Linked DNA regions of Caenorhabditis elegans. The protein of the gene in region 2 purifies or fractionates together with the protein of the main gene of each other region. This does not show direct contact. Each region holds a gene or a part of one and is shown on either strand. Other genes may lie near its edges.

Evidence for each region.
Region 1: the proteins of ttr-42 (region 2) and glb-6 fractionate together in Caenorhabditis elegans (co-fractionation; one large-scale study listed by BioGRID). This does not show direct contact.

Annotation. Positions count from the first base shown.
Region 1 is NC_003283.11:5,566,258-5,574,610, forward strand, and holds glb-6 (Globin-like protein 6), read right to left. Parts: upstream 4,277-8,353; 5' UTR 4,257-4,276; coding exon 4,127-4,256; intron 4,082-4,126; coding exon 3,998-4,081; intron 3,954-3,997; coding exon 3,852-3,953; intron 3,576-3,851; coding exon 3,482-3,575; intron 3,434-3,481; coding exon 3,291-3,433; intron 3,239-3,290; coding exon 2,912-3,238; intron 2,446-2,911; coding exon 2,351-2,445; intron 2,305-2,350; coding exon 2,200-2,304; intron 2,140-2,199; coding exon 2,050-2,139; 3' UTR 1,928-2,049; downstream 1-1,927. Other genes in the region: C18C4.7 (Golgin-84), read right to left, coding at 41-153, 488-706, 757-865, 908-955. UniProt on the Caenorhabditis elegans protein: May play a role as physiological sensor for oxygen via redox signaling and/or electron transport.
Region 2 is NC_003284.9:2,574,311-2,581,923, forward strand, and holds ttr-42 (Transthyretin-like family protein), read left to right. Parts: upstream 1-3,431; 5' UTR 3,432-3,440; coding exon 3,441-3,594; intron 3,595-3,636; coding exon 3,637-3,902; 3' UTR 3,903-3,952; downstream 3,953-7,613. Other genes in the region: F52H2.1 (JmjC domain-containing protein), read left to right, coding at 87-197, 248-486, 539-911, 1,489-2,292; H01M10.1 (SET domain-containing protein), read right to left, coding at 4,168-4,223, 4,278-4,480, 4,988-5,127, 5,788-5,957, 6,005-6,106, 6,150-6,258.

The DNA.
Region 1 (8,353 bases), on a different chromosome or scaffold from region 2:
TACACTTTAAAAATCGAATTGTGAGGTCATAGTAACTAACCGAGTAATTTCCATGTTGATATTGCAGATAACTTTTTGATTTCACTGACAACGTCGGTGCATCATAATTGGCATCATGTCGCACTTCGCGATACCAACGATTTTGCCCAGTGTCTGCAATAATATTTGACAACTTTTAAAATTGTTTTACACTCATAGTCAAGCAAAAAAAAACTAAGGATCTAAACGACGCCCTGTCAAAAGGGAAAGTCTTTCGGTGCAATCACTAGGCGCACTTTTAGGTCATTTATGAGAATTTTCCCAAGTGTTTCAGCTGAAATGGTTGATATTTTCAGGTAGATCAAATAATTTTCTATATGTATATTGACACTAATTTTTAATGAAAAAAAATTGAAACAACATTGCGCAATAGGTCATTTAGTAGATTTTCCAAAACTAACTTCCGTCCACCCATGCTGCTAGATTTGAGGTAAATAGAAATACGTACCTTGGTAAGGCGGATGAGATCTTACTGTAACGACGAATGATGGGTGATTTTTCTCGTTTTGATAGTCAGATATTGGACTTTTGTAGTTTTCATAAGAACTGACAGTTCCAACGTAGACAATTGCCGGTCTCATTGGTGTTCTGGCGTTGACCGTTGGATATATTTTGTTTCTATTATTTCCTGGCGAGTAAAAATCCAGACCACTTTTATGAGTGTAACCTGAAGTTTTAAAATGTGTTTTTTTAATGGAGTCAAATTTTCTATTATACCTTCGAATTTCTGACTATCACCATTAACGTTCGTCATGTTCATATCATTTGAAACGAAAAACTGACGTCTCTCACGTACAATTCCATCTGGGATGATTGAGTTGACATTCTGAATATCAAAGTTAGTATCAGAAGTTATTTTTGAACTTACAATCGGATAAAAATTGGCTGTGCCCAATACAGGTTTCAAATAATCCATTGAAAGCCTGAAAGTAGTTGGGAGAATCTGTTAATGTACAGAAGACAGTACAGAAAAATATTAAAAAAAAAAGAAACACCACTAGTCAGAAAATTGAATTGAAAACGGGCTCGAAAGAGTGAAGCTGTTATCAAATTGCCCAATTTTGATGAAATTTCTCTGAAGTTTTAGAAAATTTTTTTATGGAAATTTGAAATTTTAATTTTTAAAAAGTTTTCTTTAGATAAAAACGGAACGTTTTCCATATTAAAAAAAAGCGCCTACATCAATGGAAAAAACCCGGGAAAACAATTCGAATAGGCATAATCTGCTAAAAATTAAATGTTAATTTCCATCAGCTTCAACAAAAATAAGTTGGTGAAATTTCAGATTTTAGAAAAATCGGTTTTCTTTTCAAAATTTTGAATATCCGAAAAGTTTTTCAGAAACATTTTTGAGAAATTTCGTCCAGTTTCAATATATTTTAGTCAAGAACACACACCATCTACTTTTTTAAACATAGAAAATTCTAACTTTGAGAAATGGAAAATTTAGAGAAGTTGGTCAAATGTGTATTTCTAAATTATTTTTTTTAATGTTCGAATTTGACAAACAGGTCTTCATTTAGCAAACTACCAGCAGACTGTCAGTTAAAAAATGATATGAAAATTTTCTTAAAGCATTTTTCTATCGGCTTATGTTTTTTAAAGAACTAAATTTATCCAGAAGCCCCGTTACAAAAGCTTGAGAAAACAAAACAACATAAATCGATACACAAAATAGTCAGCCGAAAGACAAGAAAGTCATGACGCGTGGGACCGTATAGCATATTGATTCGAACCAAAAACTTGATAAAGAGTTGGAAAAGAAAGTGCCAAAGAGTGGAAGAGAAAGAGATTGCATTGTGTATGCATACATTTGGTGGTTCTACAATGCTCTTTGTTCACCTGCAACGACACATTCATGTGGAGGCACTACTAGATGGTTATGAAAAAATAAATGGCATTTTATTCAATAAATTGCTTTATAACAAAAAAAATGCTCATAACAATTGGAAACCGGATTATTAATTATCACCTATGACCCTGAAAAGAAATCACACAAATTGAGCTTTTTTACATATTATCCAATGTATGGAATCGTTTCATGTCGCTTTGCTTCGTTTTTGTTGATATTTCGAAAGAACTGCTTCCCGCGCTGGTTTTCTGAAAAATATAAGATTTTAAAAATTTATTTTTGTAACTAAAATTTCAATAAAACTGTACAATTTGAGCCTTTATCCGTCTTGCCCTCTTCTGTTCATCCTGAAAACCTTCCTTCAGTTGTTCTGTCACGAATAATACAATTTTCGTCCATCCTCTTTGAGTTGTCTGGAACAAATTATATTTGTCTGAATGCAGTTTCTATTAGGTTAACCTCTGTTCGATCTTTCTTTTCTCCCCATTCCAAAGTTCTTTCAATCATTGCAGTTGCAAACTGGTCAAGAAGATGTGCGTGGAATGGGCAGCCGTCTGAAACAGGAGGGAATTGGTAAAATATGATTGAAAATATTTCTGGGGGTTTTTTAATGCAGTGATTCATTTTTATATGCTTTTTCTAACCGTACAACTAATAAAGCTCGACCTAATAAAGCTGAAACTTCCCGAGTTGGGCAAATTTGTCCAACTTGCCGAGCTCAAAAAATGGCAAATTCGGGGAAATTGCCGCACACGATGCTCTTGTAAATCGATTCTGATCGACGTCAAAGTCAGTCCAATAGACGTCGAATTATGTCGAAGCTGGGTGTACCTGCGTCGTTTTAACTGACTTGGACATCGATCAGCATCGATTTATCAGAGCTGGTTCAAATCAAGAATTATCGGAAAATGGATCCGGAGTATCTGGAGTATAATTTTTTAGACATTCAATTAAATTTATTTATTTATAGATTTCTGTCAAATGTGATCAGATCAAAGCGCAGAATGTTTCAAAACTCACATTGATTTCTTGTTGGCCAAACATGTTTCTCACCAGCCTCTCGGAGTCCAGCTACTGTAGCTGACGGTGAATCAAGATTTGCAATTAGGTCATCCATAAGTACAGTAAATAGTTGAGCATGTTTCTTTAACCTTTCATGTCCTTCATTTTTAGTTCCAAACATTATCATTTGCCGAATTTCGGGATTTTTGAAAAACGAGTTTCGAAAGATACTGATCGCTGGTTCCAGGGCGCCTTGATTTCTTGCATGATTCCAAGTTTTCCTCACAAACAATATTTGAGGCTGCGTAAGGTGAAGAAATTGATGAATGCATGGGAACATTGTTGCTAAAATTTGTATCTCATGAATCATTCTAACTGACAAATATTTTTATCTTACGATTTGAGCTAGTCGATGGAGTTGTCTCCTTTGTCTCACTCCGAACACCTGGTCTGGTAAACTTCAAGGAGCTACTCTTTTGCATATTCGCATGATCTGGAGCATGCTCTGTCCCGCTGCTGACTGTACGTTTCACAGATATACTGGAAAAGAGATGTTTTGATAAAAAGGATAAATGTGATAAAACCCACTGGCTTCGAGGTGTGACTGCTTCAAGTAAATCCGAATTTGTTGAATCCACTGATCGCCGATTGCCTGGAGAGCCCAAATTCTGACGTGGACAGCCTGAAGATACTTTTTGTTGAATCTATGGATTTCAGATTTGGGATTTTGAGCATATTGAGGACTAGACATTTTTCCCCGGGTCTTCTGGCGCTCGCGCAGCGCCCGTGTGCATTTACCGTTTTTGTTATTTGTTTTGTGCCTTCCACATAAAAATTCGATCGTCTTTATTATATTTGGAGCAGTTGCTTTAAAAACTACATAGTTCAACCAAAATATATTTTCAAAGTGAGAAAACGGTCATTAGAAAAACAGATTATTCCGTATAAAAACTCTTACCTGTAGCCAAAGGTGATTGTTTTGAAGTCCGTGTCGAACAGAAAACCTCATCGTCTGAATTATTGTATTCATCAGTTAGACAAATTGGCGGAACGTCTTTTCCTGAAAATATATTTAATTTCAATAGTTTTTATTGGCAGTTTTACCTGGAAAATTTCGATATTTTCCTGGAGCGGATACTGGGCAGACTGCCGGAGGTGAGGATGATTGGGAATCAGAGAAAAATCTCTCTGAAAAAAGAAGTTTATTTTTCATAATTCTAGACTAACACTCACCATGAGAAGAAATCGCTGAAGCTGATCTTGGAATGACGTCACTGGTGACCCTACTTGAATTATGATGAGCTGACTTTGAATGAGATACCCGTGTGGTACCGTGTGTTGATTTAGTTGATTGGTTACCCATGTTTTGTGATTTTAAAGTCTCTGGAATGTTAACTTTGTGAAAATTTGAAAGAAAATAGAAAATATTTAAATCTCAAATTGACAATGATGGTGGCGAAAAAGTTGAAGGATGTTATTCTGAAGAGACGAGATACGCCAATGAACAGAGAGATAGAATGCGCGGTTGAGTGAGTGAGAATGGCTCATTTGATGACGTATTTTGACTAGGGTTAGAAGACTACAAAAGGACCATAAAGCGAAAGAAATAAAGAGTGAGAGAGAAAAAGAGATAAAGTCTCCGAATTGAAGAGTGAACGAGTAAAAATATGGAAAATTGGATAGACGTAGAGATATTTACAGAAAAAAAAGAAGAAGTAACCGAGTTGAAAGAACCGGAAAGTGAAGGGTTGCACAATGGATTGAGCAGCAGTGACTACTTTTATAGCTAAGGACTCTAGAATTCAAGAAAATAATGTTTCGGTAGTCACAATGTCTCGAAGCGATATTTCAAATTTGTCATAGCAAGCTCAACCAGCTCAACCCCCCTCATTATAATGTTTTCTCAAAACTTTTGAGAAATTTTTTATGTACACATGTGGTTTTTTTTGGATTTTCCTACAGTTTGGTTTTTTAGTAGAAATGCACTTAACGTACTATAACTTTTTCTCTGTTTCAGGTTTAGGAGTTTGAGCTTCAGCGAATTGTATAATCTAGTAGCTATATAAATTGAACTCCACGCTTCGTTTTAGCTATCACGTATACGTTTGAAAATGTGAGTTTTTGCCATATCTTACGCGCAAAGGTCTCACCACGCGGAAAACGAGTTACTGAAAGAAGTTTATCGGCATGATCTACAGTAAGTCGTTGACCGCGTGGCGAAACCTGGCGAGACCGAAAATGCTCATATTTAAACGTCTGAATAATATGATTTTTGGAAAAATGCATATATTATGGGGTTTCGCTAATAGATTTTGTGTTCTAGAACCGCTTGGGAAGTTTGAAAAACGCTAAACCCCTGTTGGTAAGTCTTTTGGCAAGGGGTTTTATAGCTCAAAACTTGTTATCCTTTTTATATTATTAGGACACCTGATCAGTACACTAAACCTTTTCAAGTAGGAATCGGTAACTTTCTTCGCTGTCAATGCACCGTTAAAGAAAAGAAAAATAATAAAACCTTCCTCGACTTGTGAGCTTAAACTTAATAGGATCTTGTGCAAAAACACTTCAGCTCGGATAGTAAAAAATGTCAAAAACAAATAGCATCACAAGATGGCACTTGTCAAAAAAGTATACCCCGAACAATATCACATGATGAACTTCGCAAATCGGAAATTTCCAATTGTAAGCGTCGTTTCCGAATAAAGACGACGAGACACTGCAAGCGAATTTCCGATTTTCCGTAGACTAGACAAGACGAGTCAGGGCAGATAAAAACCCGAAATCTTCAGACATTTGCAGAGTTTGAAAAGGAGGTGAAGCTACTAGTAAATTGGAATTAAACGGAGCAGAAACAGACAACGAAGACTACGTCGTCGTCACAACGATGGCGATGAAAGGAGATGCAGCAGGGAATGGAGAAAAAGAAGACGTAACACCACACTAAACAACGACACACACACACAAGACCGACGGGCCTATTTTATTTATCCTGAAAGACATAGGGCGGGCAAAAGAACGACTTTTTTGAAAGAGAAGACGAGAGGACCCTTTCGAGTAATTGAGCAGACAAGAGGAGCAGCAGGAGCCTGTCTGTTTTTCGGAAATTATCAAGCCTTGAAAGTGAGCGTAAGGAGAGAAGAAGATTAGGTGGGGGAAATGTGCAGGCCAACGAGTTAATTTCGCCTCTTTTTTCTGTGAGAGAAGGTTTTCTCTAGGGTGATATCAATATACATCTGAGCTCGATTGGTTGGTTTCTTTTATATTAGGGATGGCGGGGAAAGAAATCTTCTAGATCAAATAAAAACTAAATAATTTAAATATGAGTCACAATTGGCTTTGGATGTTTGAGGTGGCCTTTTTTAGTCCGAATTTAATTTAACTCGTTGAACTCAAATATAGAAAACCAGGCCAAAATTGTTGCAGAGTTATTTTGAATTAAAAAAATAGTTTACGAGGTGGATAAATCTAACTTATCATGTTTGAAAGTAAGCTAAAAGTTAAAAAGGTGTGCTCTGGAAAACCTTGAAGTAATCACAGTTAATTTTTGGTGTGCCCATCAGGAACCTCGCAACATTGGACAATATAAGCATTGAACACTACCTTGAGAGTGAATGAGATTTATGTCAACTTTGTTTTCTATCGAAAATTGGAGTTTGGAAAAATTCGGCTTATCTTGCAGCTTGGAGAAGTGCCGAGAAAGTGCATAAACTTAAATAGTATTTTTTAATAATTTTCCAAAATTTCTCGCAAGCGCTAATTTTCCTAGTATCAACAACTACGATAATCAAAAAAATGCCCAGGAAGATATTTCTGTTTTTTTTCAGTATTTGACCTTAAAATAAGCTCTAGGTTCACATTTATTTGTGGTCTAAGTAAAAAAAAAACGACAGGCCTGATTTTCACACAGTATCCCCACAAAAAGACCACTCTTGTTAGAGCAAACGAAAAATTTCAAAACATGAAATTTCGAGCAACATGAGAGGTGCTATGCTATTTTGAGAAGATATGATCATTAAAGATGCTGGTAGTGAAAATATTTGATGAGAATATATGTAAATTTATTCTCTATCTAATGCACGTTCTCACGATAAAACCAAGTACATAGTGCGTAATTTATCAAACAACGAGTTTCGGGGTATCTTTCTTGGTTATTTGGGTTTAATCTGTATTTGAAAATTGCACAACAATAATGGAACTCGAATGTTGGCAATTTACCAAACCTTTGACTGGAAATTTAAAAATCTACAATTTGTTAGGTGTCTTTTTATAAGCTTTGGTCATTTTGAAAAAATTAAAGTGTACATCACAGTTAAGCCAATCATTTTGCTGAAAATACTAGTGAAAACTGGAAGAACAAGGTTCTGCTGAAAAAAATGTGTGAAATTACAAAACCACATGACCCATTCATATAGTAAATCCTGAGTACACAGCCGTCTGATATGTCTCAACTAATCCGTTTCACTAATCTTCGGGTCCGAATCAGACTTCTAGTTGATGAAAAAAGAAATGAGATTGAAAGCCTCGAGACGAGAAAAGGTGCTCCTCCTCATCCAGCTCCTGTCGCTTGAATTATGCTTATGTGAGCTCTCACGGAAGTCGTTATTTGATGAGAGGGAGAGAGGATGAACGAATTTGGAGCAAAAAAAAAGAGAAAAGGAGAGTGTTGGAGACCGAGAAGCACGCAATGAATTTCCGTATATCACCTTTGATAGATTTGTGTGTCTTTTTGACTCATTTGATGCTACAAAAGTGAATGTATCGTATTTGATGGACAGGATACTGGCCAGAAAATGAGAAAAAAATTGAAGAACAATTGGATTTTTCTTTTTTCATGACGGTAAACAAAAACAAAAGGAATTTTCTATTAAAAAAAGTGAGGGTTTTCCAGAGATATTTATTTACTGGATCTTTGGTAAAAACTCGCTTTAAATTGCCAAGTTAGAATCGTTTTAGTACGAATGTGTGAGTTTCAGCTAAGATGGGGAACAATCTTTAATTTTTAAAAAATATTTATTTAAAATATTTTTGAAATTAACTAGTTGGAAACTTTTTTGGAAAGAAGAATCAAGCTTAGCTTTGGAGATGATAGAGATATTGGTACTAGTCCTAAATCACCCCGCCACTTTTTTTCTTTTTTTTTCAAATAAAAACGTGTGGAGTTTTTGTATTTTTAGGCTTAGGAAATAACCATTTCTAAGCCTAAAGATGGAAAATGGACATCACGTTTTATTAAAATGGATAATATTAAAATGAGGGGAAATAATACACAAATAAAAAAAAAAGTGGCGGGGTGATTCAGGACTAGTACCGAGATTTTTTAAAATTAATTCAACTATGTGCATCTTCAAAAAATTGTCAAAAAGAATACCTACCGTGGCGTCCTTCGCCTGGTAAGTAGGCAGGCATGATGATGTCACGGAGGCATGGAAAGTGCCTGCCACGATATTATTGCGTACGTTT
Region 2 (7,613 bases):
TGGCGCTACTCCACCTTCAAATAACTTTAACAGGGGCTATATTTACAGTTATAAAATGTTCCTTTTTTGATGATTTACGTTTTCAGAAGTTCATAAAACACCGCTTCGCCGATTTTCGTTTGGAAGAAGAAAACGCAGAACACAAACTCTACATCTGCCCACATGGACAACATGAGCAATGTGTCGGGTATGCAAAGGTATACGACATCACAACGAAAGACGATTGTTTTTAATCAAACATCTTCAGCTATTCCTCAATCTTGGTGTTAACATCGTTCGTGTTTGTTTTGGGCACTACGGGCATGAGTCAACGATAGGGCAGTACCGGTTCACTGGAATTCAATTCGCCACTATTCGATTATTCAGCGACTTTTACTGGAAAAAAGTGATTGGACCTGAATGGAATGTGCACAACATTGTGTACTGTTTCAAGCATTGGTATGATGATTCACATGCTCTTCACTATTTAAGTATATATGACCTGAGGTATAATCTCCGAATAACCAGATAAGATGTTTTAATGAAAACTTTATTTCAGAGCAATCGCTCTAGAATTAGGCAAACCTGATGCAGTTCGTGTTCAACTTCCGAATGGAGTATACCATGCCGTTCGCATGACAACTGTGGAAGACTTGAACCAATTCACGCATAGGACACCATCGAATCAATTTCAACCGTGCCATGCAGATGTTAACGAGCTTTCACTTGGTGCTTCAAGTCAGAAAGAGGAAGGCACCTCGGGGCCACCCCAAGTCCTAGATGAGGATGGGGAGCCATTCACCCCGACCCCGGAAAATGTGCGGCACGAAATTTCAGAGAGCCAAGATGCACCGGGAAATGTTACACATGATTGGTTTTCAGAAGGAGCCAATTCTCAGCAGGTCACAACGATGTGGGTTAATATTCACAATGTAAGCTTTTTCACTTTCATATCATAAAATTGAAGGAATTCATGTTACCATCTATGATTTTTCATTTCACTCTAATTTCAAAAACTTTTGACCATCTCAAATATTTTCCGCAGGGCCAGTTTTTCAGGTTTCTGCCCGATTTCTTGGTTTTGGAAGGAGGTTATGTGCGGACTTTGCTTTGGGTTTTGCTATAGAATACATTATCAAAATACAAAAAAAATTGGAAAAAGAATATTCAAATAATTCTCAATAAAATGCTTGTCAAAAATTATTCATTTTTATTGTATTTTTACAATTTATAATAACTGAGCAAAATCCATAACTAATTTTCGTATGAAAGCTAAAAGAACTGAGCTCGAACAGTAGCCTGAAAATAATGGCTCCGAGTAGGGAACCTTGGGATGGTCAAAATGTTTTTCAAAATTACCGTGAAGCAAAAATCATAGATGATAACATAATCCTCAAAGTTTGAGAAAAATCGATAAGCATCGAAATAAATTATGAATTTTGACCACTTTATTGCTAATTTTTTTGTTGTTTCAAAACAATCATATTACACTAAATAGACAATTTTCAGCATGCAACTGAGCTGAAAAACATTGCTTTCCTGAAGATGTTAACTCCGAACTGCACAGAAGAAGTGTTCAATGATGCTCAGCAAATATTTGAAATGCTCAATCAAGCAGCCGAGATTGCACATAAAATGAATGAGAAAATAAGAGAAGCAAACGGCGACATGTCTAGAATGCCGGTCTTAGAACCGCCGCCAACGTTTTCAATATGTCTAGATGATCCAGTGTTCCGGGAACTTTATCCACTTCATCTTCAAAATTATGTGTACCCAGTGCAACAGTTGGTCAACGAAGAGGATGATTGTGCTCCAAATCCACTTGTAGCTCCCAATGGAAGTACTGTTCGACCAGTTGGAGATTTATTTTCACAACCTCCGGTGCCGAGTTTCTTGCAGCAGCTCTGGTTGAATGCTAATCCTGAATCAGGACCGACGGCTGCTGAAATTGCGGAGCAAGATTTTGAGAATTATGAAAAGGCTAGAAAAAGTGGTGGCAACATTTGGGCAATGCCACTTCCAAGACGAACATTCATTCCCTCAAGGCTTCGTTATGCAACTGGAATTGATTTGAACCGGAAACTTCAAGAAATGCGAGAACGAGAACACCAGGCAATCGCTGAAGAAATTCGAAAGTTAACGCTATCCGAGTTTCGATTGAATAATGTGGAAGTGCCTCAAGAAGAAGAGGAACCTCCCGCGGATCCGAAAACAGAATCCAAAAATAAGAAAAAGAAAAATGCTAAAAGGAATAAGAAAAATAAAGCTAAAGAACTACAAAAAGAGCAACCCCTCCGACACCGTGATCCATAAATGTTTATTATTGTTTTTTTTTGTTTGAAATCTTGCCATTTTGCCCATTGTTGCTCTTTCTCTCTCTCTCTCTCTCTCTCTCTCTCTCTCTCTCTCTCTCTCTCTCTCTCTCTTTCTCTCTCTGTCAAAATAATTCCAGAATTTAAATTTTAGAATTCCGTCCAACCAAATCAAAGTTCAATGATTACCTTTCATCACTGCACATCCTTTTTACATATTATTGTCATGTTTTCCCAGTTTTCAGTTTCCAACTTCCAATCAAATTTCCCCGTCCTTAAGAATTCTATGTCATTGAAATATTTCAGTTTTCTGTTATACCAAACTATAAAAAAAACATTTCTCTATTTTTTAAATGATTCCTGACGTCAACAATGGTAGCATGATGATACTTTCATTCAAAAAAACAGCAAAAAAAGTAGGAGAAATGAATATATCATCACTGAGAATTGATGATTGTAAAACCGTCGCAAAAGTAAAAATTTGCTAAAATTCGTAAATTGTTTTCGGAATTTTTTTGAAAAGTATAAATAGGCTCAAAAATTTTTGTAATAAAAAATCTCAATAATTTTGAAAATACCTAGTTTGGTTTAAAATGTTTGGCAAATTTTTTCTTGCTGCGATTTCCTTGCTGCGATACGAAAAAGTTGAAAAAAGATTCAAGATTTCAGCTAAAATAAGCTCTTTTTTCGAAACTTTGAACCGCGCTAAAAAAAAATAAAAAAATAGGACATATTTTTGAGCAGTTTCATAACGAAGTTTGTTCATTTGAACAAATTCAGGCCCTGTATGTTTAAAACAGTCAGAACCGTTACTCCTCCTTTGATAGGAGAGTGAAAACACAAGTGCCTGAAAGTTCTGAACATTTGGGTAGAAAACTACTAGAAACCAAGTAGCCAGACCTAATTTAAGTTTTGAATAATCACAGTAAAATTAGTTTTCAAAAAGACGAAACTTTTAGAAAATCAAAGATCAAAATTGCATTATTGAATTTTGTTTGTATATTCGTAAATCCATGGTTATTCCTTTTTGATATATTGCTCATATCAAATATATGTTTGCTAAATAAAATAGAAGGCGGGCCGGGCCAAAAACAAAATATTCAAATGCATATAAAACACCACGTTTGAGTTTTTTCTCACAAAGTTACCATGAAAACTTTGTTATTGCTATTTCTTTTCACAGCCTCTGTGGCAGCAATTCCTTTCAGATCAACAACTGTTGTTGCGAGGGTGATACTTCGTTGTAAGCATCCAAAAGATCCATCTGCAAAAGTGTTCCTGATGGAAAAGGATTTTGGAGATCGTTAGTAAATTGATCAATACACATGTATTAAAATAGTTTCAGATGAGATTGATGAAGACGACACAATGGATTTTGCAGAATTTAAATTTGGGCAAATCCCAGAAAAACCACTTCAACTCAAAGGTGAAGAATTCGAATTTTCCGGTCTTGAGCCATACATTTATATTAGTCATGCATGCACCGAAAATCGCGTGGAAGCGTGGGATTCGTTCAACGTAACTCTGGAGACATCCATGTACTTGTCGGCTACGTTCGATGTAATCATTGATTTAGACACGAAAAAGTCTACTGTCATTAAGAATATTTGATGTTAATTAATTTTCATTTGGAATAAAACTAACAGTTAACGGATTATGACAAACGATGGTATGAATTAAAACAATGAGATGTTCAACATTTTCATGAGGATGAATTGAAGGTAGTTCAAAGTCAATTAAACAATAAAATGAGAAGAAGAAAACAGGAGTTCAGATGAAAAAGAGTAAATCAAAAATGATTGGTTTTGAAAATCTAAAAAAAATAAAGAAGGAGTAACGGTCTCTTTCTTTTCCTTCAAGGTATTCATAACGTTCGTCAATTTCTCTTTACTTTTGATGGATTGCGACGAGTTTTTCTTTTTTTCGGTCCATCTAAAAAATGGCATTTAAAATAATTAACAGTCTTGAAAAAAGAAATGCACAAACCTTCTTCTTCATCGTCGATAAATGGAATTTTGAGCATACTGATCGGCGGATTGGGTAGACCATTTTGGAAAGGCGAATCTCTTGGCAACCCGACACATTGAATTGTCTCGGCGAACGCTTCAATGTTGATGACAGAGAAACCTGCGTGCATCATGCTGTCCTCGACGAGGACTACGTTTGTGTACGCGTTGGCACCTTCCATCCTGAAAATAAACATAAGTTTCTGCTGGTATACGTCATTTGAAATTTGAAAAACCTTATGTTCAGGTGGCCCTGTACAATATTTCTTAAGAGGTTTTATATAGTTTTTAAACAAAAAAATGTCCGTCAAGAATTATATACAGTTCAAACTGCTCATATGCAGCTAAATATTTTCAGGATATACTATGGTCTTCTTTCAAATGTTATATTATATATTTATTTTTTGAATTCCAAAAATAAATTTAGATTGGGACAGTAAGTAAAGTGCTTGAAAGCTTGACATAATTAAAAATTTTACAAGCTTGAGTTTTTTAAAAATTTAATTATTATAAGTTGTGTTTTGTTTCAATTCACGATGTGAGTAGAACCTTGATTTATTAAAATCAATCTTCCTGGTCTTGAAATCATGTGAAAAATTTTTACACCCCTAATTCAGAATATTCCTTGTTAAAATGGCTTTGATATTAAGTGCTTAACGTTTTTTTTGCGATATTTGGTAATTAGTTTACCTATTTAGATGGCTTGCCCACCAAACGTTGTTAATACAAATTCCCCAACTCTTGCAGAGCGACTCATCTTTGCAGTCGATTCCGGCCGCGTAAAACACCTTCAGCACATCTTTTGCTTTAATGACGCGACAATTTCTTCTCTGAAAAGTTGCAAAAATATAGAATTTTAATTTCCACCAGATGTAGATTAAAAGTGGACTGCGGTCAGTGGGGTGCTAAAATCACTAAATATCATCATAAAAAGTTTAGAAGATTTTTAAACTTGAGTCAAACACTTTTTGGAAGTATGGGATCCAAAAAAATCAGTTTTTTAGATTTCTTGATAAGTGGCAAAAACTTAAAAATTGTCATTTTTCGACTTTCAATTAAAAACATTTCAAATAGTTTTGAAAAGTTTTACTATGATTGGGGGAAATTTTCATTACATACATTTATAATAATCTAAAACTACCGACTTTCTTAATAGGACACTACAAATAATTTAATTTTTTGAAATTTTCCAGTCAAAGTTGGCAGATTGCATAATTTGAAAAAAATGCTTTCAAAAATAAAAAAAATGCTTTTTAGAAATCCAGAGTAATGCCGCATGTGACACAAATATTTAGAACAAAGTTAAAGTATAAAAATTGTAGAAAAATCTTATTTTTTTGGTTGGTTTCCAAAATGGCAAAAACCGAACCACTTTTTGACAGGAAATCAAAAAAAAAATCACAATTTTTTTTGAAAAGTTTTGCTATGATATTTAATCACTTTGGCACTGGCGATACTCCACCAATAACGAATTTTGAAAATAGACTCACAACATGTCCATGTCGAATATCATCTAGATGAAATTCGGCTCGGCTATTGAAATTGTAATAATGCTTAATGTGAATAGTGCCATCGGCGGCCACTGCAACAAATGGATCTTCATACACTGACGGTGCTCGAGGTTGAGAGCACGATGCGGAGGTAGATGGAACATCACTGCCTGTAAATGAACTGTTAAAAATATTTTTAACTCATTTTGATGATTACTTGGCAATGAATTGATTCGTGATTTATTGTTGTTGTTCGGAGATGTCGATGTGATTGGTTGCATTTCCATGGATGTTCGAGAACTGTCTTCGGTGTCTTGTTCTGTAAAACCATCGGCAATTTAAAAACTTCGACTGTTACTCACTTGCTGTTGACCGTTTATTCCGGAAGCTGAGCGCTCGGCGTAGAACATTCATGGCTGATTTGCGATAAATTTGGAGCTTTGAATTGGAGCCAGCTGTTTCTTGGCTCATTGCATTCTGAAAATTCAAGAAAAAATCAACTGTGCGGCAAGTGTGCAACATGAAAATGGAATAAAAAACGTTTGATAACTGGTCTTGAAACATTTGTTGGTTTGATTGTAATACAACAATTTTTCTTATCAGTCATTACTACGATAAGGAAGGCGGCAAAGAGCACGGTGGCAAACGAGCATGTAAAAGATCGATGATTCTATTTTGTTTGTGAAGCAGAAATTCCACACGTGATACATTTTTGACACACAAATGTAATTAGCTCCGTTTTAGCGAGAATTTTATGTTTTCAATAACACTTTTTTACTACTCAAATTGGTTCAAATTGTGTGCTGTTGCGAACATCAAAAAATAAAAAGAGCAATGAAAGCTAGTCGGTGAAAAAGTGTGTGAAAAGTGCAGAGCCGTCGATTGAACTGTCAGTAAAAGTAAACAAAGTTGAATTCCGTAAAATTTCAAACAAATCGACTGGGGACAGGTTGAACGAGCAGAGGTGAATGGCATTGTGCTAGTCTCGGGGTGAATTTGAAATTGCTCATAGTGAAAATGAGAAGAATAGGAGATGGGTAAGAATGAATTGGTGTGCACTTTTGAACAAGTGCACTGTAATAAATTTGAATGTCTAAAGATATTGGTGCTTGAGGAAGAGGCAATTTTCTTTTTTTAACCTTTTTGGGAGGAAATTTAAAAAAAAGGGTTTGAATAAAAATTAGCGTAAATTCAGGAACGAGAAAAACTGAACATAAAATTGTATATTCTGAACTGAACTTCATCCTTATTTTGTTCTAATAATGTTGTAGCTAACAGAAAAATTCATTATTTTTTAGTTATTTTTGAATGGTAAAAACAAAGTATGGGGGGCTATATTTTTGGAAAACAAACTGCCGTTAAACCGTTAAACGTTAAAAGTTTAATCAACGTTTGAAATTCGCTCAAATGAACAAATAACGTTAATGAAACTTCTCAAAAAAAAACTTGGCAAATCATAGTGTTATATCGTTAGTTAAGGTAATATTAGGCCAATAATTTAATAAAAATTATTTTCTGATCGCTGTGGCACGATAAAATGGCCAAGATTCAACATAAATATTTTTAAGTACTTTTGAGAAATTTCATTAAAAAATTTTTTAGCATAATTATTATTTTTTTTTTTTTTCATAATTATTTTTTTAATATTTTTAGCATATTTTTTAAAGCATATTTTGAGTCTACATATACGTTGAAATTCCAGAAACCGTTTGTCCTCTTTTAAGCCTCCTATTAATAATTTAATGTTTTGAATTTAAAAAAAAATCGAACAGATCTAAAAGTTACATCCTTGCTAATCCCACACACTTGAAGAACCGATACTTGAC